3 linked regions of the Arabidopsis thaliana genome follow. The protein of the gene in region 1 interacts with the protein of each later gene in a pairwise test. Each region holds a gene or a part of one and is shown on either strand. Other genes may lie near its edges.

The links.
Region 2: the proteins of MAP70-1 (region 1) and AT2G45920 interact in a two-hybrid assay, tested with the Arabidopsis thaliana proteins (one large-scale study listed by BioGRID).
Region 3: the proteins of MAP70-1 (region 1) and AT2G32650 interact in a two-hybrid assay, tested with the Arabidopsis thaliana proteins (one large-scale study listed by BioGRID).

The regions. Positions count from the first base shown.
Region 1 is NC_003070.9:25,507,358-25,519,162, reverse strand, and holds MAP70-1 (microtubule-associated proteins 70-1), read left to right. Parts: upstream 1-4,561; 5' UTR 4,562-4,936; coding exon 4,937-5,177; intron 5,178-5,268; coding exon 5,269-5,354; intron 5,355-5,524; coding exon 5,525-5,590; intron 5,591-5,659; coding exon 5,660-5,830; intron 5,831-5,902; coding exon 5,903-6,073; intron 6,074-6,183; coding exon 6,184-6,339; intron 6,340-6,421; coding exon 6,422-6,568; intron 6,569-6,676; coding exon 6,677-6,748; intron 6,749-6,840; coding exon 6,841-7,371; intron 7,372-7,452; coding exon 7,453-7,640; intron 7,641-7,731; coding exon 7,732-7,771; 3' UTR 7,772-8,276; downstream 8,277-11,805. Other genes in the region: AT1G68080 (2-oxoglutarate (2OG) and Fe(II)-dependent oxygenase superfamily protein), read right to left, coding at 1-252, 391-795, 867-962, 1,056-1,128, 1,207-1,282, 1,377-1,503, 1,571-1,633; AT1G68070 (Zinc finger, C3HC4 type (RING finger) family protein), read left to right, coding at 2,396-2,856, 2,942-3,058, 3,136-3,268, 3,348-3,506, 3,590-3,751; FKF1 (flavin-binding, kelch repeat, f box 1), read right to left, coding at 8,466-10,053, 10,155-10,426. UniProt on the Arabidopsis thaliana protein: Plant-specific protein that interact with microtubules. In association with MAP70.5, is essential for the normal banding pattern of secondary cell wall and for the proper development of xylem tracheary elements and wood formation.
Region 2 is NC_003071.7:18,893,493-18,903,891, forward strand, and holds AT2G45920 (U-box domain-containing protein), read left to right. Parts: upstream 1-5,136; 5' UTR 5,137-5,870; coding exon 5,871-6,092; intron 6,093-6,170; coding exon 6,171-6,292; intron 6,293-6,391; coding exon 6,392-6,496; intron 6,497-6,667; coding exon 6,668-6,899; intron 6,900-6,998; coding exon 6,999-7,322; coding exon of another isoform or gene 7,323-7,407; coding exon 7,408-7,605; 3' UTR 7,606-7,811; downstream 7,812-10,399. Other genes in the region: AT2G45910 (U-box domain-containing protein kinase family protein), read left to right, coding at 1,028-1,292, 1,385-1,506, 1,636-1,757, 1,895-1,999, 2,179-2,476, 2,571-2,705, 2,913-3,437, 3,621-4,367 and 1 more; AT2G45930 (uncharacterized protein), read right to left, coding at 8,453-9,115, 9,209-9,265; AT2G45940 (hypothetical protein (DUF295)), read left to right, coding at 9,501-10,210, 10,302-10,399. UniProt on the Arabidopsis thaliana protein: Functions as an E3 ubiquitin ligase.
Region 3 is NC_003071.7:13,846,445-13,855,409, reverse strand, and holds AT2G32650 (RmlC-like cupins superfamily protein), read right to left. Parts: upstream 4,422-8,965; 5' UTR 4,274-4,421; exon of another isoform or gene 4,039-4,273; intron 3,891-4,038; 5' UTR 3,864-3,890; coding exon 3,444-3,863; 3' UTR 3,422-3,443; downstream 1-3,421. Other genes in the region: RLP22 (receptor like protein 22), read left to right, coding at 1-1,513; AT2G32645 (B3 domain protein, putative (DUF313)), read left to right, coding at 2,551-3,023, 3,325-3,421; AT2G32640 (Lycopene beta/epsilon cyclase protein), read left to right, coding at 4,599-4,730, 5,020-5,137, 5,221-5,408, 5,490-5,597, 5,677-5,741, 5,857-5,962, 6,054-6,137, 6,292-6,438 and 9 more; AT2G32630 (Pentatricopeptide repeat (PPR-like) superfamily protein), read right to left, coding at 8,702-8,965.

The sequences.
Region 1 (11,805 bases):
ACAGCTATACTCTTCCCAAGAGGTAACCGCGAGAGCTATACCCGTCAAGTCGAGTGAATCCTTTCGATCCTCACCAGAGCACGAATATCCAAAAGTTGTGGCTACGAGGTTCTCATCTAGCAGGAAAACTGATTTCAGGGCATTGATAGTTTCCAACTGAGAGTGGGACATAGCTTTCACCTCTTCTAATGTGTCATTTTCGACATTAGAAGTTACGAGTTCAGAAGCTTTCCAATGGTAGAACTGAACAACCTATTATCCAGCAAAAGAGAAGAAATAAGCATTTGATTATATATGATGAAAGGAAGCCCGTTTAACAAGACATTTACTATATCAACTAATCACTAACGACCTCGAAGAAACTCATGTGAATGTCAAAGAGAAAAGTACCTGAAGAGCATGAAGAATGTTGGCAAATTTTCGGGTGAGTAACTTTCCTCCTTTAGCTAATTGTAGTGGTCCCATAAGTTGTTCAGAGGCATCCGTAGAATGATCTTCGCCTTGTAAGCTATGTACATCAAAACCAAGAAGATGCAACCTCGCAACGCAAACATCAAAACCTATGTTTTGATTAGAACCATCTTGATGAGGACAGAACCAGTACATGTTAGTGGATGCAGGCAAAGGGAGGCACACTTCATGTGATGTACATTGTGAAAGACGAGAAAGAAGCTTGGAATCTTCGTCATGTGATGAGTCCCGGCTAAACCAGAGTGCAAGAGTCAATCTTTCTCCATCTGTTACCTCATCAACTGAGTGAATATTCCGGTCATCAGCTGTGTACATGATAACATCCTGCTCAAGAACACAAACTCATTATTCAATCTAAGTAACCACTAAGCCAACTGAAAAAGAACAATACTTACACCAGCCGATGGAGCAACGGTTACTGGTTCACCACTCTGAAAACGAAAAAGACCGCCTATGAAATCTTTCTCGTAACTATTCAAGTAACAAACTGCCTTCAAACCAACTAAAAACCAAAGTCATACACACATAAACCACAATATCAACAAGGACGTCTATAGATTACAAAAATGAGAGTGAATACGAACCGCAAAATCTCTTTGTTTTAGATATGATCTGTTATCATCACTATGCCAACCAATGCTAGCTCCTTTGCACCAACTGATTCAAAACAAAGAATCAATATTTACTCTTTTTTCCTGACTTGTTTTGTTAAAGAGACAGGGGAGAGAGACTAACCTAATCAAACCTGTGAATTCAATAAAAAGCTCATACTCACACCCAAATGTTTCCTCTATCTTCTCTTTCAACCTCTCTGTTAACTCAACACAACAAAGATCATCCCTTTGAATCTCACAAAAGTAAGATATAAAGACAAAAGCGAAATCTTTGAGTTTTAAAAGATTGACCTCTAATGGAGACAAAAGGGATGATGAGGTGAGGAGAATTAGTGGCAATGAGGTGAGAGAGAGTAGTGGAGAAGACATTTGGTCTGTACCCAATTGTACTGCTACTCTTGTGTATAAGCTCAAGTTCCTGTTTTTACCTCAAAATTAACCAAACCCACATGATTAGACACAAAATTAAGCAAAAAAGGGACAACCTTGCATTCTGCCGGCGACAGGAAATTGTGTAGAATTAGCCGAGGGTGCTCTTTCTCCGACATGTCTCTCCGGTTTGTGTAATGAATCCAATGAACCCAGATCGATTGTGGTTGTTTAGGGTTTCAGTTAATCCTGTTCTTACTTGTCTTGTCTATTTCGGTGTACCACCGCTTTTGGAATTAAACTGAAATTAGTTTGTTAATCTTTTTTTTCTTTTGTTCATTAGAATAATTAATTATATGATGTTAAAAAAAAATTATTATGTAAGAAATGTTAAGTCGGTAAGTTCCAATTAACTTAAACCGGAATTTTAGAAGACAAATGTTACAAAAACTTTTGAAAATAACTAATCAAAGTATCAAACTGAGGTAAAATGAGATTATACTAAGTGCTTACCACTACAATCGAATTTAAGTTCTTACTAAACTTCTAATGTTGTTCAACTTTTGCTATCATGAAATCCTCTACCAACCATCGATTTTTGTTCATTATTTACATATTTCTAGTTCAACATTATCACCACCACATTTGCTCTTAAACATAACCGAGAAGACAAGTGTTAAAAATCTCAATTTCCTAACCACCAGTCTAATTGTTGACTACTAAAACGTCTGTAATCCTCTAATCTCTAACTCTTAACACATATTGTTTAAAGAGCAAATTAAGAATTAAGACAATTATGAATCACCGATACACTTATTAAAGTACTTTCTCTTGTCTCTATTTTGACTTTTGAGTGGTACTGATAGGTACAAGAAACACAACAAACCCTAGATTTATCTTCATCTCTCTCAATTCTGTATCAAGCAAAGACGGATTCAACGATGTCTTCACCTGAATCACCTTCCGGTTCCGACTCATCCACACCACTTCTCCGTTCACGGCAATCATCACCACGTCGTCAACCTGTAATCGCGGTTCTATTAAATCGAGCTTCAGGACGACGAGGAGCTTCGATGGTGGTTAGAGAAACAGCTGCACAAGAGCTTGAAGAGCGACGAGCTGATTGGGGTTACTCGAAACCTGTTGTTGCTTTGGATATGCTTTGGAACACTGCTTTTGTTCTTGTTGCGATTGTTATGCTTTTGGTTTTTAAAGAAGAGAAGCCAAATGTTCCTATTAGGATTTGGATCTGTGGTTATGCGATTCAGTGTCTTGTTCATGTTGTCCTTGTTTGGCTTGAGTTTAGAAAGAGGAATGCTAGAAGCAGACCTGGAGATTTAGAAGCTGCTCAAGCTACGAATCAGGATAGTGAAGATGAAGACAACGATGAGAGGTTTCTGAGGTTAGCTCTCGATTCAATTATCTGTGCTGTTTTGTTCTTTAGCCAAATGATTTACTAATGATTTATGAGAATCAATTATTTTCAGCACTAAGACTTGTGAATCAATGAACACTATAATATCATTTGTCTGGTGGATTGTTGGATTCTACTGGCTTGTTTCTGGTGGTGATATCCTTCTGCAAAACGCGACGCATTTGTATTGGTATGTGTTGGTTTGCTCAATGTTTATTTCTTCTAGTTGAATGGTAATGACATCATTATGTTTATTAATGTTTGCAGGTTAACCTTTGTTTTCCTTGCATTTGATGTGTTCTTTGCCATCTTTTGCGTTGTGCTGGCATGTCTTATTGGAATCGCCCTCTGTTGTTGCCTACCTTGTATTATTGCTCTTCTTTACGCCGTCGCGGGGCAGGTATGGACTATAACAGTAACCCTTTTGGAAGAAATGAAAGCAATAAACTGCCTTTTGATATGTGTGTGTGTGTGTTTAGGAGGGTGCATCAGAAGCAGATCTCAGCATCCTTCCCAAGTACAGGTTTCACACGATGAACAATGATGAAAAGCAAAGTGACGGTGGTGGGAAAATGATACCTGTGGATGCAGCGAGTGAGAATTTAGGAAACGAGCGTGTGCTTCTTCCCGAGGATGCTGTAAGTTTTTGTTTTGAAAGTTATCTTGTGGATGTTTTATATGAAGCTTAGAGCTTTCTTTTGAATTGGGTTGGTATGTGTAGGACTGTTGTATATGTTTGAGTTCATATGAAGATGGAGCAGAGCTGGTCTCACTTCCTTGCAACCACCACTTTCATTCTACGTGCATTGTGAAATGGCTGAAAATGAATGCGACATGTCCACTATGCAAGTTCAATATCCTCAAAGGTAATGAACAAGAATGAAGTAATGTAGAGGAAACTTTTCTTCTTTTTATGTTGTGTTTCTTTTTGTTGTATATAGAGTAGAGAAAAAAGAAAATGATTGTGTTGTTTGTAAGTCATAAGACAGTTTGTTTCTTTGTTGAAATTTGTTGTCAATTCTCTTTTTTTTTTATCAAATAATAATAGATATATTCATCATGTAGCTAATCGCGTAAGACAAAAATAATCCTCATTTGTGACATTATGTTTGTTGTTCATGTAAACAAACATAAACCCCAAAGATATATCTAAAACAAATCAAGACCAACATAAACCCAAAAGATATATCTAAAACAAATCAAGACCAAGAGCTAAAGGTAATACAACAAGTTAATCTATAAAACTTCGGTCGCAAATGGCAGTGATATTCAAAAAACGAAACATTATATTGATTTACATTCAATTTAAATAGATTTTTTTTGTTTCTCATAACAATTTAAAAGGACTTTTATTAGTAGAGAATCAATCAAATTTGTTAAAAGAGAAAACATACATAATTGATTGTCCCTCAAAAAGAAAAACAAAGAGATCTCAACAGATTACAGTGATTAGATTAGTGTACACGTATTTAGTTAACAACAACAAAAAAAAAAAAAAAAAAAGACATATTACACGTTCCCTCCTCTCACGCGCAAAGCATCTCTTTGACTAATCACATCTTTTCTACGCTAATCACATCACTAACCAAAATAATTAACCATCCACCTAAATTATATACATACAATATTGCCATTTACTATATTATAATTACTAACCTCTATATTTCATACTTAAGTGCTTGATCAAGTGAACGTTGATTAATTAACAACCTAATCTAATCTTTGTTTTTTTTCCCTCTTCTTGTCTTGTCACACTTGCTATTAGAGAAGACGACTAGAGAAAGAAAGATAAACAACAACACTGTGACAGCATTTAAATCTCACTCTCTCTCTTGTTTCCATCACTACAAAAAAAAAAAAAAAAACGAACGATCTCTCTGAAACTATCTCTTTCTCTCTAGATATGTTGTTGAGACTCTGATTTGAAATCCCAGAGAAAAGCATTTGGATCCTCTCTAGAAATCTGCATTTTGAAGCTACTTTTTTGTTTGCATCTGAGTGTGTATAGATCCTGAGGAATTTTGATGTGTTGTTGAATCGGAAGGAATTTAGATCGGAGTAGTCGGAGATGTCTGACGTTTCGGCTGACGGTGGTTTTTTGTCGGCGGAGCAAGCTACAACGCCTGTTGCGATTCCGACGCCGTATCCGTCATTGACGGTGTCGGCGTCCTATAAGGAGAAAAGTTCTGGGAGGAGGAGACCGGTTAGGCCTAGTTTTGATGCAGCTGCTGATAATGAGTTTATTACTTTGCTTCATGGTTCGGATCCAGTGAAAGTTGAGCTTAATCGGCTTGAGAATGAAGTTAGAGGTGAGATCAATGCTTGCTCGATCTAGTCGTTTTCGTGTCGATTCAGATCTGATTTTGTTTATTGACTTTGTTTTTTCAAATGTGGTTTTAGATAAGGATCGAGAATTAAGTGAAGCTAATGCTGAGATCAAAGCGTTGAGGTTATCTGAGAGACAAAGAGAGAAAGCTTGTGAAGAGGTGTGATTTTTTTTTTCCTTTTTTGGAAGATTTTGTTTGTTTTTTGTGGCTTATGGATTAGGTTATGGCAATGTTGTTAGAGAAGATTGATAGCTTATGTGTAGTTTCAAGTTCCTTATTGTGCTTCTTGTTAGCTGATTTTTATCTTATGTGCTTTGGAATTTTAATAGCTTACTGATGAGCTAGCTAAGTTGGATGGGAAGCTCAAGTTAACTGAATCGCTTCTCCAAAGCAAAGTATGTATCAAAATCTCCCTCCTTACGATCATGATTTGGCTGGATATCTGATTATGAACTATGTTGCAGAATCTAGAAATCAAGAAGATCAATGAGGAGAAGAAGGCTTCCATGGCTGCTCAGTTTGCTGCTGAAGCTACCTTAAGAAGGGTCCATGCTGCTCAAAAGGATGATGATATGCCTCCGATTGAAGCCATTCTAGCTCCATTGGAAGCTGAGCTTAAGCTAGCTCGCTCTGAGGTATGTTTTACTCATTTGAAGTCCAAATTTCTACTTGCAAATCGGATATTAATTTATGATGTTTCTGTGAAGATTGGGAAGCTTCAAGAAGATAACAGAGCTTTGGATCGTCTCACTAAATCAAAAGAAGCGGCTTTACTTGATGCTGAGAGGACTGTTGAAACTGCTCTGGCGAAAGCTGCTTTAGTTGATGATCTTCAGAATAAGAACCAAGAGTTGATGAAACAAATAGAAATCTGTCAGGTGCTGTACTCATTATCATCTTCTTTGTATCTAGTTAGTCAGGCTTTGGATGCCTTCTACTTATCACTCATTGTTTGTTAATAATTTCTATTATCTGTTTGATTCTTTAGGAAGAAAACAAAATTCTAGACCGAATGCACAGGCAAAAGGTTGCGGAGGTGGAAAAGCTTACTCAGACTGTACGGGAACTGGAAGAGGCCGTTCTTGCTGGTGGTGCTGCTGCAAATGCCGTGAGGGATTACCAGCGGAAGTTTCAAGAGATGAACGTAAGTTAATACATTTCCGAAAAAAGAAGTATAGAATCTTTACTCAACTGATGAAGGAATATTTCTTGCTCTACTTTTGCAGGAAGAACGAAAAACTCTTGACCGGGAACTTGCGCGTGCAAAGGTTACAGCAAACAGAGTTGCGACAGTGGTTGCAAATGAATGGAAAGATGGTAATGATAAAGTGATGCCTGTGAAGCAATGGCTTGAAGAAAGAAGGTTTCTACAGGTTTACTTTGATATGATTGCCCTTTTCCTAAATTTGTGGAATCCAGATTCTTTGAAGTGACAAAGGCACACAACCTTACATTCTCACTCTTTAACTCTCTTCTTGCAGGGAGAAATGCAGCAACTCCGCGATAAGCTTGCCATATCAGATCGAGCTGCGAAATCTGAAGCACAGCTAAAAGTATTCATCGTATTTATGCATTAGTCATTGTCGAATTTATGTTCTTGTTTAACTGAACTAATTAGTAAACTATTTCCTTATACAATTTCTAGGACAAGTTTCAACTACGACTTAGAGTGCTTGAAGAGACACTGAGAGGCACATCAAGCATCAGCATAAGGAACACACCTGAGGGAAGAAGCATGAGTAATGGACCGTCTCGCAGGCAGTCAATCGGTGGATCAGATAATTTACAAAAGTTTGCGTCAAATGGCTTTTTGTCAAAGAAAACTCCGATGAGAAATTCCTTTACTTCTAATTCCACCTCGGTATTGAAGAATGCTAAAGGAACATCCAAGTCATTCGATGGAGGCACAAGATCATTGGATAGAGGCAAAGCACTCTTAAAAGGACCTGGGAATTATTCGTTCAACAAGGCTTGTGATGAAACCAAAGAATCAGAGTCACCTAATACCTGGAAAGAAGATTCAGAAGAGAAGCCACCAAGTGAACTCCCTGCACCAGCAACCGAAGACAATGTCCCAGGGGTTTTGTATGATTTACTACAGAAGGAAGTAGTCGCCTTGAGAAAATCTTCGCATGAAAAGGATCAAAGCCTCAAAGACAAGGATGATGCCATAGAGGTAAAATCTCTCTGAATGTACCATATAAAATGTTGTTAAAAAGACGTGTTTGTAATGGAAGTCTTGATATTTTTCTTGTAGATGTTAGCAAAAAAGGTTGAAACTTTAACAAAGGCAATGGAAGTTGAAGCAAAGAAGATGAGAAGGGAAGTGGCTGCAATGGAGAAAGAGGTTGCTGCAATGCGTGTGGATAAAGATCAGGATAATAGAGCTAAAAGGTCTTCAAACACCAAACCCTCATCCAACACCGCCCAGATTCTTGCTGCAAGGTATCTAACAATGTTGAATATCTTTGTCTATTTTTATGATCAAATTGCGATTTTAGCAATCAGACTAAGCTTGGTGTTCGATATTCTGCAGAGCTGCTGGCCGAAGTGGGTTAACAAGGAGTACACAATGAGATGAGGGAGGAGATGTGACTAGTTCTTGTGGTCGTATCAGTTTAAACAAGTAAAACCGTTATAGGCTGGTGTGATTTTTAAGCTCTTTTTAACCTTTATATCTCTTTTTTATTTCTCTTGCTTTCCTTTACATCCTCTGTGATTTATTGAATTACCATAGAACTTAAGGATGAAAAAGATAAGTATGCTTTCTGACTTAGATCGGCTTACACTGCTTAGCGATGACGACAAGAAAAAAGGGTGGAGGGAGAGATGTTTGACATTTTCGCATAACATTTTCTGTCCTATGGAAGTAGTTTGTTTGGCTGTATAGGTTTTAGCTCTGTATTGAAGTTTGTGTACTTTACTTTTTCGGTTTCTTCATTCTATTTACTTGAGGTGTTGTGTGATTATTTCTACTTTTGGGTTTGTGGATATATATATATATGTCCAAACTCAGTGTCTTCTCTCTTTTGGATGGTACGTCAAAAATCAAATCCTGCATGGTCGAGTAACAAGGAGAAGTATATTATAGAAGGATCTTCATACAGCAAAACCATTAACATTACATGAATATCTATCTAAAGCGTACAACAATCACTAATTTACTATGTACACACGCTTCTAGCTTCTGATATATCTCTTCTACATGTCGTAAGAGTTTGGAATGTGACAGATACAAAACCACAAACCAAATGAAGAAGGAAAGAGTCTTTACAGATCCGAGTCTTGCCGGCTAGCCAAGCAGAGTTCATGTAATTCATTGAGTATCCATTCCTCACCAGTGTGACCACCAAGGACCAATACTCTAGTTCCTCCAACAACGCATGTGCTATGTCCCCAAGCTAACTTAGGCGGTTTCCCGGGGACATTCAGGATCCTCCATGACGGTTTCTCTTCTGCAGGATCTATTAGAAACAGTTGCGAAGGAGAGTGAAGCCCTGCAATCGACCCTCCAAAGATGATGACCCTACCACACGGCATGCTCACAGCCACATGGTCTAGTCTTGGAGGCGGTACAACCACGCCTGGGAATGCGCTACACTCAAGCTCTCTCCATCTTGGTTCTTCATCCTCCAAGTCTATAGTGTATGCCTCCCCTGACCTTAGCTTTAGATGACCACTATTTGCAAGCCCGCCAAACATTAGGATTTTAGTCCGACCAAAGACCGATAAAGAATGCCCAAGTCTAGAAGGAGGAGCCCATGATGTCGGGATCTCTTTCCATGTCGGTTTATCTGTTGTCAGATCCAACAAGAAGGTGTCGCTGAGAAGCACTCCAGCGTCTGTGCAGCCACCTGAGACAACCAGTTTAGAGCCCTCAATGGTGCACGAGCTGTGCCAAGATCTTGGCAATGGAGGAGTTCCTCCTGCTACTTCCTTCCATGTGGGATGCTTAGCGTCTAGATCAAGCACAAATACATCATTAAGCAATCCTTGTCTTCCACACCCTCCAAAGACTACCAACCACGACCCGTTGAGACACGAGAGTGTGTGTCCCCAACGTCCTGGAGGCGACGACGTCACCCTCACACGCTGCCACTCAGGACACTCTGCATCAAGATTGAGAACAAAAGTATCATCCAATGGCTGCATGTTAACCCCTTCCCCACCAAATAGCACAAGCCGGTTCCCAACAGCACACGCGCTGAAATTGCAGCGGGAAGGTTGTACAATCCCTCCAACAGTAAATTTACGCCAACACACAGCTTCAAGAGTGGTGAGCTCTCTAGCTAACCGACCCCATCTTAGCTTCTTAGTCATAATCTCCAGTGTTCCAGTTATCTCTTTTCCCCACGCATTCTGACATACCATCTTCCTCACACTCTCGTTCTTCGTCAACTGCCTCAACCTCCTGCAAGCAGAACCAATTGAAGCAACGTCCCTTGGAGTTAACCGAGATAAGATGTTATGAGCCAAAACTTCATCAGATAGCTGCAATATCCCACAGAAATCTTCATGATGCTCCTTAAACCTCGGGCTTCCACTTGGAAACAAGCACTCAGATGTTTGATCAAGCTGTTGTTTATGTTTGAACACAGGATACGAGACACGGTCAAGGTCTATAGTCGTTTCAGAGAAGACCTGTATCCCAATTACGTGTGTAATGGTTCCATCATCGTCACGTATTGGAGCAAGCCGTAGTCTGTTAACCAAAGGAGTACCATCTTTTCTGAAATTAAGAAGCTCTCCTTGGAATTCAATACCTTCTTCAAGACATCTCCTAATCTCAGATACAACCACAGGATCAACCAATGGGTGACGCCTTTGAGCTCGAGGATCTCTGTACTGTAGGAATCGACTGAAACCAAGCAGATTCAACCACAAATGCAGCATTATTCAAGAGAATTGATAACAACACACTCCAATTCAAAAAGGGGGAAATCGGAGAAATTAATATACCAGTTACGACCAAGAACTTCATCGGCACGATAGCCAGTGAAGACTTCGAAGACTCTGTTGACATAGATCAAAGGAAAATCTGGCTCCAGAGCATCGGAAACAATGAACGAAGGCGGAGTCATTGGGTAATAGAACATCCCAACCTCTAACGGAAGCTTCTCATCCTCTACTTGTTCTTCGATTCCATCGTTACAGTATTCTTCTGCTTCTTCAACTCTGCCGCGTTTCTTTCGTTTTCCGGTGGCTTCTCCGATCGCATGTTCTCTCGCCATTTTTCTCGCTTACAGAAATATCTTCTTCTTCTCTGATAAGCTCTCAGCCTTATGATATTTTATTTCTTTTTGTGTCTGTTTAAACTTTTAAAATATCTTGGCTTAGTTGGTGACTTATTGACGAATATACCCTTTATATTTAAGACGAGGCAAGAAGTCTTCGCGCCAGGAGTTGGTGGCAATTTTCGTAATTAAAAGGATATATCAGGGGTATGTTTAAAAAAAGTAAGTCTACTCTTGTTCGATTGTAACACGTCACCAGGGGATATTCCGAGAAAATATCTAGCCTACTCAACCACTCGCTTCTTCCACGTCATCATATTTTGTGAAAGATATTTGTTTTTTTTTTGAAGATTGAGATTTGAGGGAAGATATTTGTTTTTGTTTGTGAAGTGTTGGAACTTGGAAGTTGGAACGCAATTGGAATCAGATTCACGTAACCGTTGACTCTGGTCAAATAATAGATATTTTTGTGAAACGCGATTCTCGAAAAGGTTACACATAATGTTAATGTAACAAATTGAGTTTTCGTGGTGAGTGGAATGGGATGATGAGACAAGGGAGTTTTTCTCCCCAGTTGAGAAAATTCAGATTTAGCTCTAAAACTTCCCACTTATATAAGTTTCTAAACAAAAAAATTACATTAGAAATACGAAAATGTACGTAAGTAATGTAAATATGTAATAATTGATAGCAATAGTGGCCATAGACCCCACATAGTGGCATACTATGAGAGTAATAGAGTTAAGTGTAGTCCTAAGATTTACAGAAGTCCAGATCTAGGCCCATACTAAATAGCTAGCCCACAAAGCCCACACAAAAACTTAATTTGAACCAAATAAATAGACAACATATTTTTTTTATTTTTCTTAACCGTGTGAGAAGGCTTCTGACCATAATCTTTCAAGTACATGAAATCAACCTTTACATATTCCAATTGTGTTCAACCAAAAAAATATTCCAATTTAAATAATATATTTCCATTCCAAAAAACTAAACACAAGAAAACTAACCCTTTTGGTATATAGACAAAATAATTGTTTCATAGATTTATCTTTTTATTTTATCTTTAATTTCTATACAATTAAAGGTAAATTAAAGGTAATTTCTATACCACTCCAACATTTCCTGTTATGTTTCATTAGCTACTTCAAGTTTTAGATTTATATCGGGTTCACAAGACGTCAATAAATTACATTCCTTATCACCTCAATAAAAAAAGTTATGATTTTTTGTTTTTCTTATTTTTTCTTTACTTTTTGATATAAAAAAAAGTTCTGGCTTTTGTTATGTAATTTGATTTTTTGAACACAAACAATCGAAACTCAAACATCTTTTTGGTGGACTAAAACCCAACAACTTTTTTTGATTGATGAAAA
Region 2 (10,399 bases), on another chromosome or scaffold:
TATAATGATGCACTTAATACTTTCATATTCGTTGTCATCTATGTGTAGCAGCATAGTGCACTTGTTCGTCTCAGACTTTATAGAATTTTAGATTCGTGAGTAGAAAATGGCTTTTCGCTTAACTTTTCATAAATCTTATGTCACACTTAATTAAAAATTGACTAGCACCTTAAAATTAACATATATGTGTAACATGAAGAATATTGATATCTTGCATGATACTAACTCTTTTGGGGTCTTCTGAAAAATAGATTGCATGCATATCTGATCAAATGCAAATAGATTATGTTATAAAAAAAAGTCATTTATTCTACTGATTGGAATGGAAATAAGTTTTCACCGGCGGGAACAAAAAAGGTGAACACGTCGGCAGAAATAGAGAATTAAGAAAGACTGCGAGTTGGTGTACCAAATCTCATCCGTGCTTCTCATAATCAGGTACACGTGTCATTAATCGGTTAAGGTGGACCACCCCATAGATAAGTACTACTGTGTGTGTGTCCACAGCAGATAAATAAACCTCTTCTTTCATGTTCTCGACCACGTCAGATTTTTTAGCAGCAAAGCACACAAATCCCCAAGAAGCTTCGTTTTGGTATGTTAAAGTAAAATCGAATAAATTTTGCACACAAATCTCAATTTTAATTGTCTTTCCCTCTTCTCGTGAAATTTTCCGACAAAATATCAGTTTCTTCTTGCCGTGAGTTTTGGTTGGTCTGACCAAGAGTCCTTTTATTTGGTCAATACGTTTCGAAATTTGATAATCAAACTCTTTCTTCCTCTTCTTCTTCTTCCTTATCCGTAGACTCTAGGGTTTCAATACGATTCGAGTGTGTCTGTTTGCTCTCTAGTCAAAAATTTCACTCTGGTTAGAAACTTTCCCTTTTGGATTGTGAAACTGCTATTTTAAATCACTGCTTATTGATTCGTGTTCCGGAGTGATCTTGGTGAATATTCTTAATTTGTTTCGTTGTTTTGTGGTTTTAGATATCAAACGATCTGGTTTGTCGGATTTGATATTGGAGCAATGGCTTTGGTGAGTCCAATTCCAGCAATGGGTGAAAGAGCTGGATCCATGAGATTTCACGGAATTGGTAGCCCAGGATCAAGGTCTAGTAGGAGCGGGATTATGGACGAACCTGTCTCGCGGCTGATTGACGAGAAGATCTTCGTTGCAGTGGATAAACACGTGGCCAAGAGCAAATCTACACTCATTTGGGCTTTGCAAAACACTGGAGGCAAGAAGATTTGCCTTATTCATGTTCATCAGCCCTCCCAAATGATCCCACTTAGTATGTTCCCTTACACCTTGTCTCTGTGCTTTTTTTCCACTTAGTCTTGTTTGTGGTCACTGATCTTGTTTTTTCACATTGATTCATCCTAGTGGGCGCCAAATTTCCAGTTGGTGCTGTGAAGGAGGAAGAAGTCAGGGTTTTCAGGGAAAAGGAAAGGGAGAAAGTACATATGATCCTAGACGACTACCTTCGTATATGCCAGCAGAGAGGGGTATGCCTCCATCTATTTTCCTTTTCTTTAGTGTTGATGTTATGCCCTTAATAGGGAACTTGTTTTACTTCATTGGCTAGCACTACGATTATAGTGTCCTTATGATAGATAGTGTATTTATGATTGTAGGTCAGGGCAGAAAAGATGTTTATTGAAATGGAATCCATCGAGAATGGAATTGTGCAGCTCATCTCGGAGCTGGGAATCAGGAAACTTGTCATGGGAGCAGCAGCAGATAGACACTATTCAAGGTATGCTTATGGCGAGTCACTAAGCATTTTTTGGGATCTCTACTTATTCATACTGAATCAACTCCTGTAGATCTGTGTGCTTCTTACTCTTCAATATCCTTATGTTTTGCTTCCTCTATCAATACTTTGGCTTTCAGGAGAATGACGGATCTGAAGTCCAGGAAAGCCATCTTCGTACGCCGAGAAGCACCTACTCTTTGTCAAATATGGTTTACTTGCAAAGGATACTTGATACATACAAGGTTTGGCCAATTCTTCTTCTCATCACAACCGAATCCTTGGATTTCAAAATGACTTGTACGAATCAGCCATGCATAATTATTACTCTAGTAGTCTTTAAGCTTCCCGAGATCTGCATTGGCATTGAAAATGACGCATCTGTGGCTGCTTATTAGTAATAAATATTGTACTATCATTGCAGGGAAGCTACTATGGACGACACTGAATCAGAATATGCATCTCCGCGTCCTTCCATAAGTGCAAGTGATCTACTTCAAACTTTCTCTACACCGGAGTCTGAACATCAGCATATATCTCGAGTACAGAGCACCGATTCAGTTCAACAATTAGTAAGCAATGGAAGCTCAACTGAACAAAGCGGGAGGGTGTCGGATGGGTCTTTAAATACTGATGAGGAGGAGAGAGAATCTGATGGCAGTGAAGTAACGGGAAGTGCAACAGTTATGAGTTCTGGCCATTCATCTCCCTCCAGTTTTCCGGTATGCCATGTTGTTCCTAATGGAAAAGCAATGCATTTTGATTTTCATATAACATTGTATCTCAGCTGTCCAGGAAATTTGTCCATCATTGCAGGATGGGGTGGATGATTCTTTTAACGTTAAAATCCGAAAAGCCACGTCAGAGGCTCACAGTTCAAAACAAGAAGCTTTTGCAGAGACTCTTAGGCGTCAGAAAGCCGAAAAAAACGCACTTGATGCAATCAGAAGGGTGAGTTTCCTTACAAAAATAATTTAGTTGGCACTGTTAAAACTTTTTTGGAAATGATTGCTAGATGTTCTAGCTGGAGATATATACTATACTGGAACCGCTAGTGTATCACTTGGAGAGATCCCTAGGCTTAATAGTGGTGCTTCTAGTTACACCAATAACAGCTAAAATATTATAGTATACTGATATTATAGGTAATTATTATAGGCTAAACAATCAGAAAGTGCCTATTCTGAGGAATTGAAGCGAAGGAAAGATACGGAGATAGCAGTAGCGAAAGAGAAAGAGAGATTTATAACAATAAAAAACGAGCAAGAGGTGATCATGGAAGAACTTCAAAGTGCAATGGCTCAGAAAGCGATGCTTGAGAGCCAGATAGCAAAATCTGATGGTACAATGGAAAAGCTAAACCAGAAGCTTGATATAGCTGTGAAGTTGTTGCAAAAGTTGAGGGATGAACGAGAGGAGTTGCAGACAGAACGTGACAGAGCACTCAGAGAAGCTGAGGAGTTAAGGAGTCACGCAGAAACCTCAACCCTACAGTTGCCTCAGTACTTCACGGATTTCTCATTCTCCGAGATTGAGGAAGCAACTAATCACTTTGATTCGACCCTGAAGATTGGGGAAGGTGGATATGGAAGCATCTACGTTGGTTTACTGCGTCATACTCAGGTGGCTATAAAAATGTTGAATCCTAACAGTTCGCAAGGCCCTGTAGAATATCAACAGGAGGTATTTTCTTGACATATTATTAGTGAAATTTCTTGTTTAGTTTCATCATCATTGTTTACTGGTTTATTGTGCACAAACTGCTGCCTCTACGAAAAAGGGGACTTTGAAACACAGTTCTACTGTAGTTTTGATTTTATAGTGTTCGCTGTGGAGGAGCTTTGACTTATTCTTGCGGCATTGCAGGTTGATGTCCTAAGTAAAATGAGGCATCCAAATATCATTACGCTAATTGGAGCATGTCCAGAGGGGTGGAGTCTTGTCTATGAGTATCTTCCGGGTGGAAGCCTTGAAGACAGGCTTACTTGCAAAGACAACTCTCCACCCTTGTCGTGGCAAAATCGTGTGCGCATTGCCACTGAGATATGTGCAGCACTTGTCTTTCTTCATTCTAATAAAGCTCATAGCTTAGTACATGGTGATTTGAAGCCGGCAAATATCCTACTCGATTCCAATCTCGTTAGCAAGTTAAGTGACTTTGGGACCTGCTCACTACTTCATCCTAACGGAAGCAAAAGTGTGAGAACTGACGTTACAGGCACAGTTGCCTATTTGGATCCAGAAGCTTCCAGTAGTGGAGAGCTAACTCCTAAGTCAGATGTTTACTCGTTTGGGATTATCTTATTGCGCTTGTTGACCGGGAGACCTGCCTTACGGATATCAAATGAAGTGAAATATGCCCTCGATAATGGAACATTGAACGACCTCTTGGACCCTTTAGCAGGGGACTGGCCCTTTGTTCAGGCTGAGCAGCTTGCTCGCTTAGCATTGAGATGCTGCGAGACTGTCAGCGAGAATCGTCCAGATCTTGGAACTGAAGTGTGGAGGGTACTTGAACCTATGAGGGCTTCTAGTGGAGGATCTTCATCTTTCCATCTTGGCCGTAACGAGCACCGGATAGCCCCTCCATACTTCATTTGCCCCATTTTCCAGGTAACTAATCTGTATATTTGAGTATGGATTTCCAGTATTATTATCAATCTGAGAAGACTTCGATCACAAAGTCATTAAAATTTGCTTATCTGAGGTCTCAAACCGTTATGTTGCAGTCTAATGGTACTCAACCCGTTCTTCCTCTGCTTTGTTTTCAAATATTTCAGGAAGTCATGCAGGATCCACACGTGGCTGCAGACGGTTTCACATACGAAGCAGAGGCTATAAGAGCGTGGCTGGACAGTGAGCATGATACTTCACCAATGACCAATGTCAAGCTTTCTCACACCAGCCTAATAGCTAACCATGCTCTTCGTTCTGCGATTCAAGAGTGGCTTCAACATCATTTGTGAAAATAAAATCCTTCAAACCCTCAATCCCTGTTCTCTTATGAAAAAACGTTTTTGCCTTTTCTGCGGGAGGCAACAGAGTAAGTGAGTAAGATTAGTGTTTTCAGTCTTCCTTATACATATACATACGATCTAATCATGGATAGCAGCATATTTGTTTACTTTTTCAAGCATAGTGTAAGTCCTCCATATCAGTCATATATGAAAAGAAGAAGCTGGTGAGATTTGTATGTGGATATGTATATATATATATATATATATATATATATATATATGTTCTGTATGAAAAAAAAAGTTATATGCTTATTCGGTTTGTGTGAGAAGAACTGCCACTATTTTGTTCTTCCATTATGTTCGGCTCTCTTAAGAACAAAGATTAGCCTCTAATTATTGGACATGATCTCACTGATGATGCCTTTGCTTAGCTAAAATTAGGATGAGTCTTACATTTTTAGTCAAGACTATCGTGTAAGACTTGTTTTCCACCTGGAAGAAGTTACCTTGGATTGCCTATAGTGATTTTTAATGAACTCTTAAAATTCTTGTGATTAATCTTACTTAATTAGCAGTGGGGTCAGGTCGTTTTGGCGGCTAGTGGCATAACTGTATAAAAATTCAGGATTGCACTGAGGTAAGCCAACCTAACGCAGCCTTTAAAGACACCAACCTGGAAAATGCTGAGAGTATTCTTCAGGATTTTCTCAAAAGTCTTGTGAAATTCGTGTATTTGTGTCAATATGTCGACATTTCTCTTCATACACAGATACTGTCGCTTTTGATTCCTGGTTTGGCTTGTTGAAAGTCAAAAAGCCTTCATTATTTTAATACATGATTCAGCTTCTGCGTTAAGGCTAGGTTTCGTCATTGGTACCGTGGTTGACTTCGTGTGCATGTTATAACATAAGAAAATGTTCTTGCTTGTTGATTGCTCCCTCTGTTAGATAAGTCATCTCTTTTCTCGTATTGCAAATTTTAAGTTTGTTCTTGTTTATTCTCTTGAGTGAATTAGAGGTATGTTTTGAGTGTTCTCATATGGAGTGTGTTGGAGATAGGAGCTTCGATCCAAGCAAAGGGGAAAAGTGTTGGCTTCATGAGGCTTCGATGCAGCCTTAAACGCTAAAATCCAGGCCAAGCAAGATGGAGATAGAGAGAGATGATGGGCAAATCAGGTTCGCAGCAGCTGCTGATGGATGAGAAGATATATGTTGCAGTGGGGAGTGACTTGGGGAACAAGTCCACTCTTGTTTGGGCGATACAGAACACTGGAGGCAAGGAGTTCTGTATCGTCCACGTTCACCAGCCACTCTACAGAAAAGAAAAGGAAAAGACACAAAAGATCCTGGACAAATACCTACAAAAATGCAGGCAAATGCAGGTATGTTTTTGTTACTTCTATTGCGAATAAGTGATTTGATGATACAAGAGATAAAGAGAGCCGATTGTGATATTCTAGGTCTGTGCTGAGATGATACACATTAAAATGGAGTCGGTAGAGAAAGGGATCATCCAATTGATCTCAGAGCGCAATGTCAAGAAGCTCGTCATGGGAGCTGCGTCAGACACACGCTATTCAATGTACAAAGCACACCGGCATAACTAAATAGTTTTGGATTTTCATCTTCTCATAGTTCTTGTTATTTCACCGATGGACTCATCATTAATCTTAATTTGTAGGAGGATGGCAGATCTGTTGTCCACGAAAGCCATTTACATTCGTCAAGAAGCGCCTGCTACTTGTTGTATATGGTTTACTTGCAAAGGATACCTGGTATATAAAAGGTCTACCCCTAGTCCCTGTAATCTCTGTACAACTGTAAATACTACTTCAGAAGTTTTTTTTAAAATGATATTTGTGTTTTGTCACACTCTTGTGAGTTTTAACAGGAACTGAGATTGTGAGAACAATCACATGTCACAAGCTCTAATATATCTGGTGATGGTATAATGCAGGGAATCTATCATGGGCAACACCTCTCTAGAGTATGCATCTACAAGTTCTGGTCAAGATTCAGTCCGTTCACGAGGATCTGTTATACCTTCGCGCCAATTCACGATATCTAGAGGAAATGGAAATGTGTATCAGTTAGCTGTCTTTGAAGCTGAGAAATCGAAAAAAGAAGCAAGCTTGGAGGCTTTCAAGCATCAAGAAGTTGTAAAAGAGAAAAATGAAGCAATCAAAAGGGTAACATCTTCTTGGAATCTCACATAAGCTATTGCCATTGCCCATTGGGAATGTTGTCCTTTTTTCCTGATGATAACGAAGTTTTCTGACCAAATGTAGGGTAAAGAATGGGAAAGTGCCTATTTGGAGGAGTTGAAACAAAGGAAAGAAACAGAGATGGAGCTGAAGAAAGTGAGAGAAAAACTCGAAAAGATGAGGTATATATCTGAGAACCGAATAACCGAGTCTTATATGTTGGTACAAAAGCTGCAAGACAAGTATAACTTGGCAACGAAAGTGTTGAGAAAAGCCAAGGAAGAACGAGATTTATTGATTAAAGGACGCGACATAGCAATTATAGAAGTAGAGGAGCTAAGAAAAGAGGTCTCTCGATCTGATGAGCACCGTGAAGCTCCTCAGTACTTCATCTGTCCCATTTCACTGGTAAATAAAAAAGTCAATATGGAGAGAAACAGAAGATTGTATCGAATCAGTTCACAAATTAAAACCTTTGTTTTCAATGTTTCAGGAAGTGATGAAGGATCCACAACTAGCAGCAGATGGATTTACATATGAAGCAGAAGCCATAAGTACATGGCTTCAGGGAGGACATGAGACTTCCCCAATGACAAACACGAAGCTTCATCATACAAAGTTAGTTCCAAATCTTGCTCTTCGATCTGCAATCCAGGAATGGCTTCACGCTTCATCCTCTTTTAGAAAGTGAACAGAAATAAAATCACACTAAATATATATTCTTAAGCATTTGCTTCAACGAACACGTCTACTTGTACTTTATATTAAACCCATGTAATGAAAAACCTTTTCTTCATTTTTCTCTCCATTTTCTATTTATTTTCTTAGTAATACAATCTGACCATATGTATTACGTTGAAAACAGCCAATTAACGAAATAAAATATGAAAAGATACTAAATCCCATTTGTTAATTGACTTTATCTTCAGTGTGTGAGACGTAACTGCTTGTGAACTTCTTCTTTTCTCATCTTGTGTCAGTGTGTGGCTTGTGAACATGTCTTCATTAGTTTCTTTCGAGTTTACATAACACAAAGTGAAACAAGAAACTGGATTCTATATTGGATCCACCAACTAAAATACAAGAAGAGAATAACTAATGAAGTTTGCATAGTAACTAGAGAGGCATTGGAGGGATCCAGTAAGGGAAGAGTGGTGTTGTGGAGAAGGCTGAGGGAGACTTGGGACGAAAGGAACGTGGTTTTCTAGTGGCGATATCGTAAACACCAAAGCCATCGCCTGCAAAATAGATGGAGTTAGGGTTTAAGCCAGGGAATGAGCTTGCCTTGACACAGAAGGGCTCACTTCTGCCGAGGAATATGCAGAGATCTCCAATGTCCTCAGTGTAACACATGTTCATATCTTCCTCCTCTCTAAAGACCATGAAATGCTTTGTTCCACGACACAAGAATGTCATCCTCTCGCCCGGTTTGTAGTTCTGAGCGTACCACTTGACTAGGAAACGCTGTCCTGAGGGAGACTCAACGAGGTGTACAGTCGGCGGGGAACATGAGTCCAAGAGCTCCCACTCGGACTGTGTCACCTCAGGAAGGTTGCAAAACCGCAACTCAAATCCTCGAAGCAAGAATCCCAGAAACCCAACAAATGGCCTCCAACACTAGGAGTGTAGAACTTTTTATCTCTCTTTGAATACATAACCTTTGACTGATCAAAAAAGTGGGATTCGGTTTTAAAGCCTAAACCCGAGTAGTTGTCAGTTTTGCCACAAGGCCTAAAGAAATGGATCTCAAGTCCTAAACAATTGGCAGCCACTACAAAATCTTTACTTTGATCTGGTGAACAAGTCATTGCAGCGTTAGTGATGAGGCGTAATTGAGTAATATTAGGTTTACCCATGGGATACATGGGATGCAAAGGAATGATTTTGGGATTTGATTTGGAGCCACAAGGATTGCAGTAGTCGCTAACATAAACGGCTTTATGTCTACCATCACCTGTCTCCACATTGAAAACTCCCCATCCGTGGGACATTCCAACCAGACTCGTATTACGCAACTCCATGGGAAAGGCCTTGTCTCTGACAATAATTTCATCTTCCTTGACCGGGTCAAAATAGTGTATAGTGCTTGTTACATCAATATCATCCAAACAACTTCCATAATGTATCAGACTAAACATCAAGTAAGGGTTGGTGGTGGTGGAGGAGGAGGAGAACATACGAAGGGTACTGTGGCGGCATCTCTGGGGAAGAGTAAGAAGTAGACACATAAGAAGGAGAAAAACGAAAGAGGTTATACAAAAAGAACTAGAGAGAGGATAGATTTAATTAATTACCAGAGAAAGTTTGCGGAGAGAGGTCTTGGAAGAGAGGCGGAGAAGCAGAGATGACATAGCTAATAGCTTCGCTTGGTTGCTCTGTGTGTTTCTTCTCTAAAGGGTTTTCGAGTTAGTCAAGATCTAATTAAGACCAAAGTGCTTGCCACAAGAAAAAGGAGAAGTAGGGTTCTCAATTATTACTAGAGAGATGTCTCTTTCTCTTTATTTTTTCCACGTTTCTCTCGTTTTTCTCCTTCTTATGTGTCTACTTCTTACTCTTCCCCAGAGATGCCGCCACAGTACCCTTCGTATGTTCTCCTCCTCCTCCACCACCACCAACCCTTACTTGATGTATTATGTCACCTATTCTGATGAAGCCCCACAGGCCGGTGCAATGACAGAGCTCCGCATGTTTGACCCGGCCAAGGAAGAGTATTTCACCGTCCATGATAAGCCACTTCCCAAAGAGTTGGTTAAGTCGAGGCTGGTGGGAAGTTCCCATGGTTGGGGAGTTTTTCTTGGCTCCCCTAATTCCATACTAATTAGCGACTACTGCAATCCCTCCAGCTCCAAATCAAACCCCAAGATGATCCCTCTGCCTCCACGGAGTTATGAACACTCTTGTCAAAATGAATTGGTTAGTGGCGTGGCAATGTCCTCTTCTCCTGAAGAAGAAGACTTCGTTATGGCTGTCAAGTTCACGGGACGTCGGGTGAGTATATACAGGCCCGGTCAACATCGTAAGGGGAACCACCGCTTTTCGTCTACTGAACTGTTCGATTATTTTGAACAAGCCAACTTGATGTATTCCAAGAGAGATCAACGGTTCTACATGCCAAGTTCTGGAGGCCACCACTTGTGGTCTTGGGATGGTATAATATCCACCGACTCTCAGTACCATGACTTACGCTTTCACAACCTTCCTCAGTTTTCACTTTCCGAGTTGCAGCTTTTGAGATCTTGTTACAGAACACAACATCTTGTGGAGTCTCCCTCAGGACAACGTTTCCTAGTCAAATGGTAGGAGCTTCTTCTAGTAATTTGTTTGCTTTTGTCGTTTCATGTCATCATTATAAGAACATTTTCTTCCTTTTTTCCTTGTGCTTGGCAGGTCTGTTCAAACCCTTGGCAGGTCTGTTCAAAGCCTTGCGCATCGGTCGGTAGAATTCAGTTTTGGCGGCACAAAGCTGTTCATGGTGTTTAGAGAGG
Region 3 (8,965 bases), on another chromosome or scaffold:
AACACTAACGAGTGTGTATTCAGACATTGACTTTCCAAAGAACATGGAGATCTTGCTCTTGTCTGGATGCAACATCAGTGAATTCCCCAGATTCTTAAAGTCCTTAAAGAAGTTATGGTATTTAGATCTTTCCAGCAACAGAATCAAAGGAAACGTTCCTGATTGGATATGGAGTCTTCCTCTTTTAGTCTCTCTGGATCTTAGTAACAATTCATTCACCGGTTTCAACGGTTCATTGGATCATGTTTTAGCCAACTCATCGGTCCAAGTACTAGATATTGCTTTAAACTCTTTCAAAGGATCATTCCCTAATCCACCGGTCTCTATCATCAACTTGTCTGCTTGGAACAATAGTTTCACAGGAGACATTCCTCTCTCGGTCTGTAACAGAACCTCTCTTGATGTTCTTGATCTGTCCTACAACAACTTCACTGGCTCAATTCCTCCATGTATGGGTAATTTCACCATAGTGAATCTCCGGAAGAACAAGTTGGAAGGAAACATTCCAGACGAGTTTTATAGCGGTGCTTTGACGCAGACACTTGATGTTGGATACAATCAACTAACCGGAGAACTTCCAAGATCTCTCCTGAATTGCTCATTCATAAGGTTTCTTAGTGTGGATCACAACAGAATCAATGATTCATTTCCCTTGTGGCTCAAGGCATTGCCCAATTTGAAAGTCCTTACTCTCCGTTCAAACAGTTTCCATGGTCCTATGTCTCCACCAGATGATCAAAGTTCTCTTGCATTTCCCAAGCTCCAGATACTTGAAATATCGCATAACAGATTTACGGGAAGCTTACCAACGAATTACTTTGCGAATTGGAGTGTAAAATCTCTCAAGATGTATGATGAAGAGAGGCTATATATGGGAGACTATTCGAGTGATCGGTTTGTTTATGAAGATACTTTGGATTTGCAATACAAAGGTCTATACATGGAGCAAGGCAAGGTTCTTACTTTCTACTCCGCCATTGATTTCTCTGGCAACAAGCTTGAAGGAGAGATTCCAGAATCTATTGGTCTTTTGAAAACATTGATTGCTCTCAACTTATCAAACAACTCATTCACTGGACATATTCCGATGTCTTTCGCTAATGTGACAGAGCTCGAGTCATTGGACTTGTCAGGGAACAAACTCTCGGGGGAAATTCCACAAGAACTCGGAAGACTATCGTATTTAGCGTACATAGATGTCTCTGATAATCAACTCACTGGTAAAATACCACAAGGAACACAAATCATAGGGCAGCCTAAATCCTCATTTGAAGGAAATTCAGGGTTATGTGGTCTTCCTCTTGAAGAAAGCTGTTTAAGAGAAGACGCACCATCGACACAAGAGCCCGAAGAAGAAGAAGAAGAAATATTGGAGTGGAGAGCAGCGGCAATAGGGTATGGACCAGGGGTGTTGTTTGGATTGGCAATTGGACATGTTGTTGCTTTGTACAAGCCAGGGTGGTTCATCAAGAATAATGGTCAGAATAGGCTTAGAGGCATCAGACACCCTTAGGATTAAAATTGTTCTGTTTCATTTTTTTTTTGTAAATTGATCAATGAGTAAGTAAAGTTACTCAAAAACAGAATTATGGCATGTTCTGTTTACATTTAAACTATGATCTTATAACAGAAGAGCCGAAACTATTAAATTAGTTTCTTCCATATCAAACAACGTATTCATGACTACTTCATTTTATTATGGAAACATAAGAAACAGAACAAGTATTTCTTTACATGTGAAATTTTTTGAGTAACGAAAACATATGTTACATTTGTTGGGTAAGGGTAGTTCGTCCTTTAAGGATAACAAATTATTAGGCGGCTTAATTTAGAGCCCAGGAGTGTAAAAATTGTAATCTCACCGACTCTCATTAATTTAATCGCAAAATAAAATCAATTTCCCTATGAAGAAAAGGAAAACCTGAATACCTTCGTTCCTTGACTACAAAGCTAACCTTTTTCTCTTTCGCTAGAACTCGAGTTTCCTTCTAGGTTTTATAATTTCCGGTTCTGTATCTTCAAGAGACTTGATCAAGATGATGAAATCTGATGATCGTAGTTTTTCCAAGCAGAGATGTTTGACGAGATTACGTGAAATTCTTCAGAAGCCCCAAACCTTTGGTCGCTTTGAGGTGGAACAAATTTCGAGACGTCAGTGGGATGTGCACAAAGAGTACGGTACTAACGAAGACAAAAGCTTTAAACTGTTGAATCCGCCCGTCATGTCGTTAGAGTACGAGACTAAGAAAGACAAATCGAAAAAGAAGGAACCTAGGGTTAACTCAGGGCGGGTTAATATGCAGGAGTTGATGTACGAAGTTGTCGCAGAGTTGCCGCTTGACAGCCTCTTAGAACGTAGATCAATTACTTCCGTACTAGAAAACCCTAATCCGGATTCACAGTCGTCTATGTCATCTTGTGTCAGTCAGTCCAAGAAAAAACGTTGTTCTGTTAAGGTGGAAGAGAGACGTCCCAAGAAAGGCAAAGTCGTTAGTCCTTTAGAGGTGCAACCAAATTCAAACGACTCCACCCGATTGGCTTTTGAACGTTATGAGGAACGAGAATGGCTACAATCCGAAGCTGATCTCAACGAGGGAATTGTTTAAGTCTGATCTCGATAAAGGTAAAGCACGTCTCCAAGTCCCTTTTAACCAAGTGAAAACTCCGGACTTTTTGACAGAGGACGAGACAAGAATCATACATGAAAATGCCATGAAGATTCGTGACGATGGTGTGCCTGTGAATTTGGTGGATCCTCGGATGAATAAGCATGCGCTTGAGTTGAGGAAGTGGAAGATGAAGGGAAACTGGAATTATGTCTTTGTTAAAGGTTGGAACGATGTGCTTGATGCTAACAAGTCGAATTCGTTTAAGGAAAAAGACGTCTTTCCTCTCTGGTCTTTCCGATCTGGAACAGGCAAACTCTGTTTTGCTCTCACCCCAAAAATTCCAGCAACGGCTCTACTTCAGGAGAATCTGGCAGTGGCGGCGATGGTGCTTCTACTTGAGGTGAATCTGGTCAGGTACCGTTACCCATTCCTTCGGCAGTAGATTCTAGCCACTCTGGCCAAGGCTGTTCAGGAGAGAGCAGCTCTAGTTCTTCCTAATCATAACTCTGCTTATTGCTTAAGCCACAAGTAAAACGGATTTAGTTTTCAGGCAAATCTGGCTTGGTTTTCTTTCTTTTTTTTGTTCAGTTGATGAAATAGTGGGGTTTTGTCCAAATATGATGTTTTGATTTGAGTTTCTTTCTTTATGTTTGATTTTTTTTTATCTCTCTCTGATGCTGCCTATGTTTACTTATGATTAGCATTGAAAATGCAGAACAAAGGAGAGAGAACTTGTTTTCTTATATTATCACAAAAAGATCCATCAGGCTACAACAACACACAACAAGTGTAAAGTTTCTTGGCTCTACTAAAAACTCAAAAGTCTAAGTTGGATCAATCATCACCATAGGCCTTGAAACAATACCGCTCAATATAAGGAGCGTTAAAGAAAAGATCAGCTTCCAACCATTTCGGATACCGAACAAGATCTCCAGCTAAAAACTGCATATACCTCTTGCTTCCTTCGGGAACTACTCGAACCTCTCCTTGTTCAATGTAAACCAACTGATCCACCTGCCAATCCCATGGCAATTTGCATTTCCCTGTCTTCCAAACTGACCATCTCGAAACCCCGAGTTCCTCCAACCGTTTCTGTGAAACTTTCCGTTCCACTTTAACATTGTATAGCTCCTCTAATGGTTTCTCTGTCTGCATACAAGTCACCTTAAAGGCTCTCTGAACAGACAGGTTATTTGTCTTCTTACATGCAGTGACAGAACCTGGGAATGGTGTAGTCATTATCAGACTTGCCATGGCTGCTTCTATCCAATCTTGTGAAACCTGAGATCCACAATGAACTTTAAATAACACATATCGAAATTCTTTGTGATGTGTTAAAGTCTTGTAACTCCTGAAACAGAGAAAGAAGGTGAATTTCTAAACTCTAGTGTGTAAAAGTGAATTATATTGTAAAGCTGAAGGCTTTATCATTTACTCTCTTTGCAATAGCTTATATGAATCAATGACACAGCGTAACACAAAAACTCACAATTCAGGAAATTAGCTAATGCCCATTTGCTATTTCGATTGGAAAAGTGAAAACTCATCGCAAAATTGAAGATATACGAATTTAACCCAACAAGTCCGCAAAAAAAGGTTGTCGATTTCAAAACCAAAAAAAAAAGCGGAAGACAGATTATACGCATCGAAATCGAATTTCTTACCAGCGGAAGTGTGAGTGAGAGTAACCCTTAAACCCTGAAGCAGTCAGGCTTATCCGATCCCCGATTTGATGAATCAGTAAAAAAGAAGAAGAGGATATAATAAATATTACAGAAACGATACTAACATTTAGATTTGTTTTAATTTTAGAACAGAAGTTTGTTTTGAGTTAATGTAACCCAAAATGTTTTTGTTTTGTAAGACTGTAAACGTGTCACATTCTCTGACACATTGCACAATCTTTCCAGTTTTCTCTTCACAAGTTTTATCTCTGTTTATCAAAAGTTCGCTCTTGGTTTTATAGCATTTGTTTTGGAACTCATTGTCATGGTGGTTCTGCAAATTCATCAGTTCAATGGGTTCGTTAGTTCCGTATCAAGGGCTCAGACAAACCAAGGAAGAAGGAGAGCTTCGACGACAGTGTGCGTTCAAACACAATTGGCTCCCTCTCTTACACAGGTCAAGCTTTCTGCTCAATTACGCATCCTCTGGGGGGAAATGAGAAAAAGTTGTGAACTTTATCAGGATTAGAGATGATTTTGTGGTCTGCATTGTGATGAAAGTTTGCTCTTGATAACTGATAATTGATTTTCATTGCACAGGAAAAGAAATTTTCATCGCTTTTGTTCTTTCTTAGTTGTTTTAGTATTTGAATCTTGAGAGCCTTTAAGCGAGATTGCATAAGCATGTTTAACTTCACGATGAGTTGTTTTTAGCTGAGTATGAGTTCAATCATTTCGATATGCAGAAGATAATGGAGAGTATTTCAGTTGGTGGAGAAGCTGGAGGTGCTGGTGGTGCTTACTCTTATAATGCCTTGAAGAGACTTGACAATATTTGGTCCAACATATGTACTCAACCAACAGGTAATAAGAACAATAGTCTTTTGGTAACCATTCAGATAATTAAGAAATATGCTTCTCTTGGTGATGAATGTTAGTCTTTGCAGGACCACAAGAAACTCAGCAAATTGTTTCTAGGGTATCTGGTTTTTCTCAAGATTATAGTATGGGGAATAATCTCGTTGGAACCTTTGACATAGTGGTTTGTGGGGGTACTTTGGGGATTTTTCTAGCCACGGCTCTATGTGCCAAGGGTTTAAGAGTCGCTGTGGTGGAGAGAAATGCAATCAAAGGGGTAAAGCTTCTAGTTAATGCTGTGGTTGAGGTCTGGTTGGAGAAGCTATTGTTAAAGCTTTTTGGTTTTGTGGTGATTTAGAGAGATCAAGAATGGAATATCTCAAGAAAAGAGATGAAAGAACTGACTGAAGTCAGAGTTTTAACCGAAGATGAGATCGAAGAAGTAATTGCTGCAAAGTTCAATCCGGTAAAGCTTCTCTTCAGTAAGCAATATCTTGATGCTTTATAAAAGTCATGTAGCTTAAGGTTATCTTGAACAAATGCAGAACAGATGTGGATTTGAGAATCTTGGTGATATATGGGTTGAAGATATTCTTAACCTCGGCGTTTCGTGAGTCCTGTCTTCTCTTATTCTCTAATACATAGGAAAAGAATAATCCCCTTGTGTTCTGCTACTTTCTGAAAGTGATGATTTGTTTGTTTTTTCGTTTTGTATGTTAAAACAGCCCAGCCAAACTTGTGGAAACTGTAAAACAACGTTTCATTTCTCTTGGTGGAGTCATTTTAGAAGACTCCAGCCTCTCGAGCATCGTCATCTACAATGATTTAGCTGTGAGTTATCTGGCGTTTTCTCCAAAAACATTGTACCTAAGAAGAGTATTCAGCTTATTGATATGAATTGTTTGAACATTTTGATTGACAGGTTATGCAACTTTCTAAAGGTGACACATTATCTTCCCGTCTCGTTATTGATGCCATGGGAAACTTTTCTCCTATTCTGAAGCAGGTCATATCTTGGCCTAAGAACATATCTACTTTTACATTTTCATTTGCATTAGTTATGGTGGTAAAAAAATAAAACTTACTGATTCGCTTTTCTTGAGCAAATTGTGTATTGCCCTTGCATAATACTTTTCTTGTTATGTATTCTGCTACAAAAGATCAAACGTGGTAGAAAGCCAGATGGAATGTGCCTTGTTGTTGGATCTTGTGCTCATGGGTTTAAAGAGAACTCATCAAGCGACGTTATATATAGCAGTTCATCGGTGACCAGAGTTGCAGATTCCAATGTACAACTCTTTTGGGAGGTAAAAAAATCTGTCCCCATTCTAACACAATTCCCATAACCACAAAGAAATGGTTTTAATATAAGGATGCTTATTGTTGCTTTAAGGCTTTCCCGGCTGGCTCTGGTCCATTAGACCGCACTACTTACATGTTCACTTACACTGAACCGCAATCAACATCTCCGAGTTTAGAGGATTTACTCGAAGAATACTGGAAACTGATGCCAAAATACCAAGTGAGTTTCCTTCCATCTTATATCACAATCTTTCATCAACTTTCGTTTTTTCTTTCTTTTCCTGATGTCTTTTGGCAAAGGGAGTCTCTCTTGATGAATTGGAAATACTGAGAGTTGTATACGGAATCTTTCCTACATACCGAAATAGGTACGACTTTGACAAGAAACTCCGTTGATGCCTGTATCTCTATATCTATCATCTCTGGAAGTTTGAAATTCTATCATTGATATTATAATTCTGTTTACCAGTTTCGTACAATAATACTGCTGCATTCTGACATATCTAACCCTGTTGGATTGGACTTGTCACCAGTCCGTTGCCAGCTGCATTTGATCGTGTTCTACAGGTTGGTTTGGTTCATTTATATATAAGCTTCCAAGATAAGTTTGCGGATTGATAATTTGATAAACTAAATAATCAAAGTTACTTACAAATTTTTTACTCAGTTTGGTGATGCTAGCGGTATTCAATCACCTGTTTCATTTGGGGGTTTTGGAAGTTTGACCAGACACCTTGGAAGATTGTCCAATGGTATATACACTCACTCTCTGAGAGTACACTTGCTGTCTCCATATCTCATTGAACATTATACAACTTTTTATATCATGAACTCTTTCAGAATATTCAGATTTTCTGACAATCTTATTGTTCAACTTAAAAAAGGAATCTATGACGCAATAGATGGAGATCTTCTGGACTCTGACAGCTTATCAAAGCTAAATCCTTATATGGTAATATAGCTTTGTGGTTCTCAGCTAAATATCTTTCTCCCTGCTATTAACTTCACTGAATCCATTTGGCTTTTGAACGACAGCCAAACTTGAGCGCATCATGGCTGTTTCAAAGAGCAATGTCTGCAAAGCAACAGCTCGATGTTTCCCGTGGCTTCACCAATGAGCTTCTCCATGTAAATTTCAGTTGCATGCAGGTATAGTACACTTTTCTAAACCGGGAAATGAGAGTTTCGAACTTTGGCTTCTAAGTAATGGTTTCATATTTCTCTTGTAGAGATTGGGCGATCCAGTTCTCAGACCATTTCTTCAGGATATAATACAGTTTGGTCCTCTAGCAAAGACATTAGGCCTTGTCATGCTGACCAAACCTCAGATAATTCCGTCAATATTCAGACAGGTATAGCTCTCCTTTGATAATCGTTGCATCATTTTTGAACCAGAAAACGGAAACAAAAGATTGAAAATGTTCTTGGTTTATTCATGAAATCTTCGTTTCTTTGGTGATTCTCCTCAGGTTGGGATACCTGTTCTGCTTGATTGGTCTGTTCATTTTTTCATGCTGGGCTTGTATACGCTCCTCTCGGCATACATCGATCCATTGCTAAGGTGAAACATTTCTGAATCTCTTTAAGAAATTATGTATGGATTGTTGCTTCTGTTGCCATGACTCTGCCACATTATGGATGTCGTGTTTCTTGAACTTTCTTGATATTTTTGTGTATTCTCAGGCCGTCTTTGGAAGGACTTCCCTCAAAGACGAGGTTCGAGTGGAAGAGATGTCTCGAGGCCTGGAAATATGGAGCTGGCCTCGATTATGAGTTGTGATTCTGTTCGTATTTCTGAAGAATGGTACCCTCATCGTCACTGGCTTTTTGAAAGAATAAAAGTTCATCAGATATCAACATCTAGTACTTCATAAGCTTCATAAATGTCTGGCTCATATACACAGAATCAACATCTCAATCCTTAGATTTGATTCACAGGGTTCTAGAAAACTCCTTCAATATCAGTTTATACACACCTACATTCGAAAAGCTTTGTTCTATGAACAGACAAATTTATAGTAATTTAATACACCAAAAGCGTCGAGCTTTGTTTTCTTTACCGCGTAGACATCAATGGTGGCTTGATTGATCCATTGTGGATACCAAATGATCATACTCCAGCAAAGTTTGATACATACCCTGTCCCAACTAGCTCAAAGAATCTTTCAGAAAATAAATGGTTCTGTTCAAGTAACCGATTTTAACCATTAACAGGTAGAGATTTCAGGGGTTACCAGCTCATACAGGTCTTTGTTTGACGAATATGTTTTAAGTCTCAGGTGAATGCATACTTCCAATGAGTGCAGTATAAACCTTATTATCTATTGTATACCCTTTCCTTTTCATCTCATCGTACAATCCAAAGGCTTCGTCTGATTTTCCAGCTTTGGACAAACCCGAGATCATCACCGTGTACGTAACAGAATTCTGGTCCAAACCCTTCAACCCCATCTCGCTAAAGAGCCTCATTGCTTCATCCACATTATCAGCAATACATTCCCCGTGTATGAGCGACGTGTAGGTATATGAATC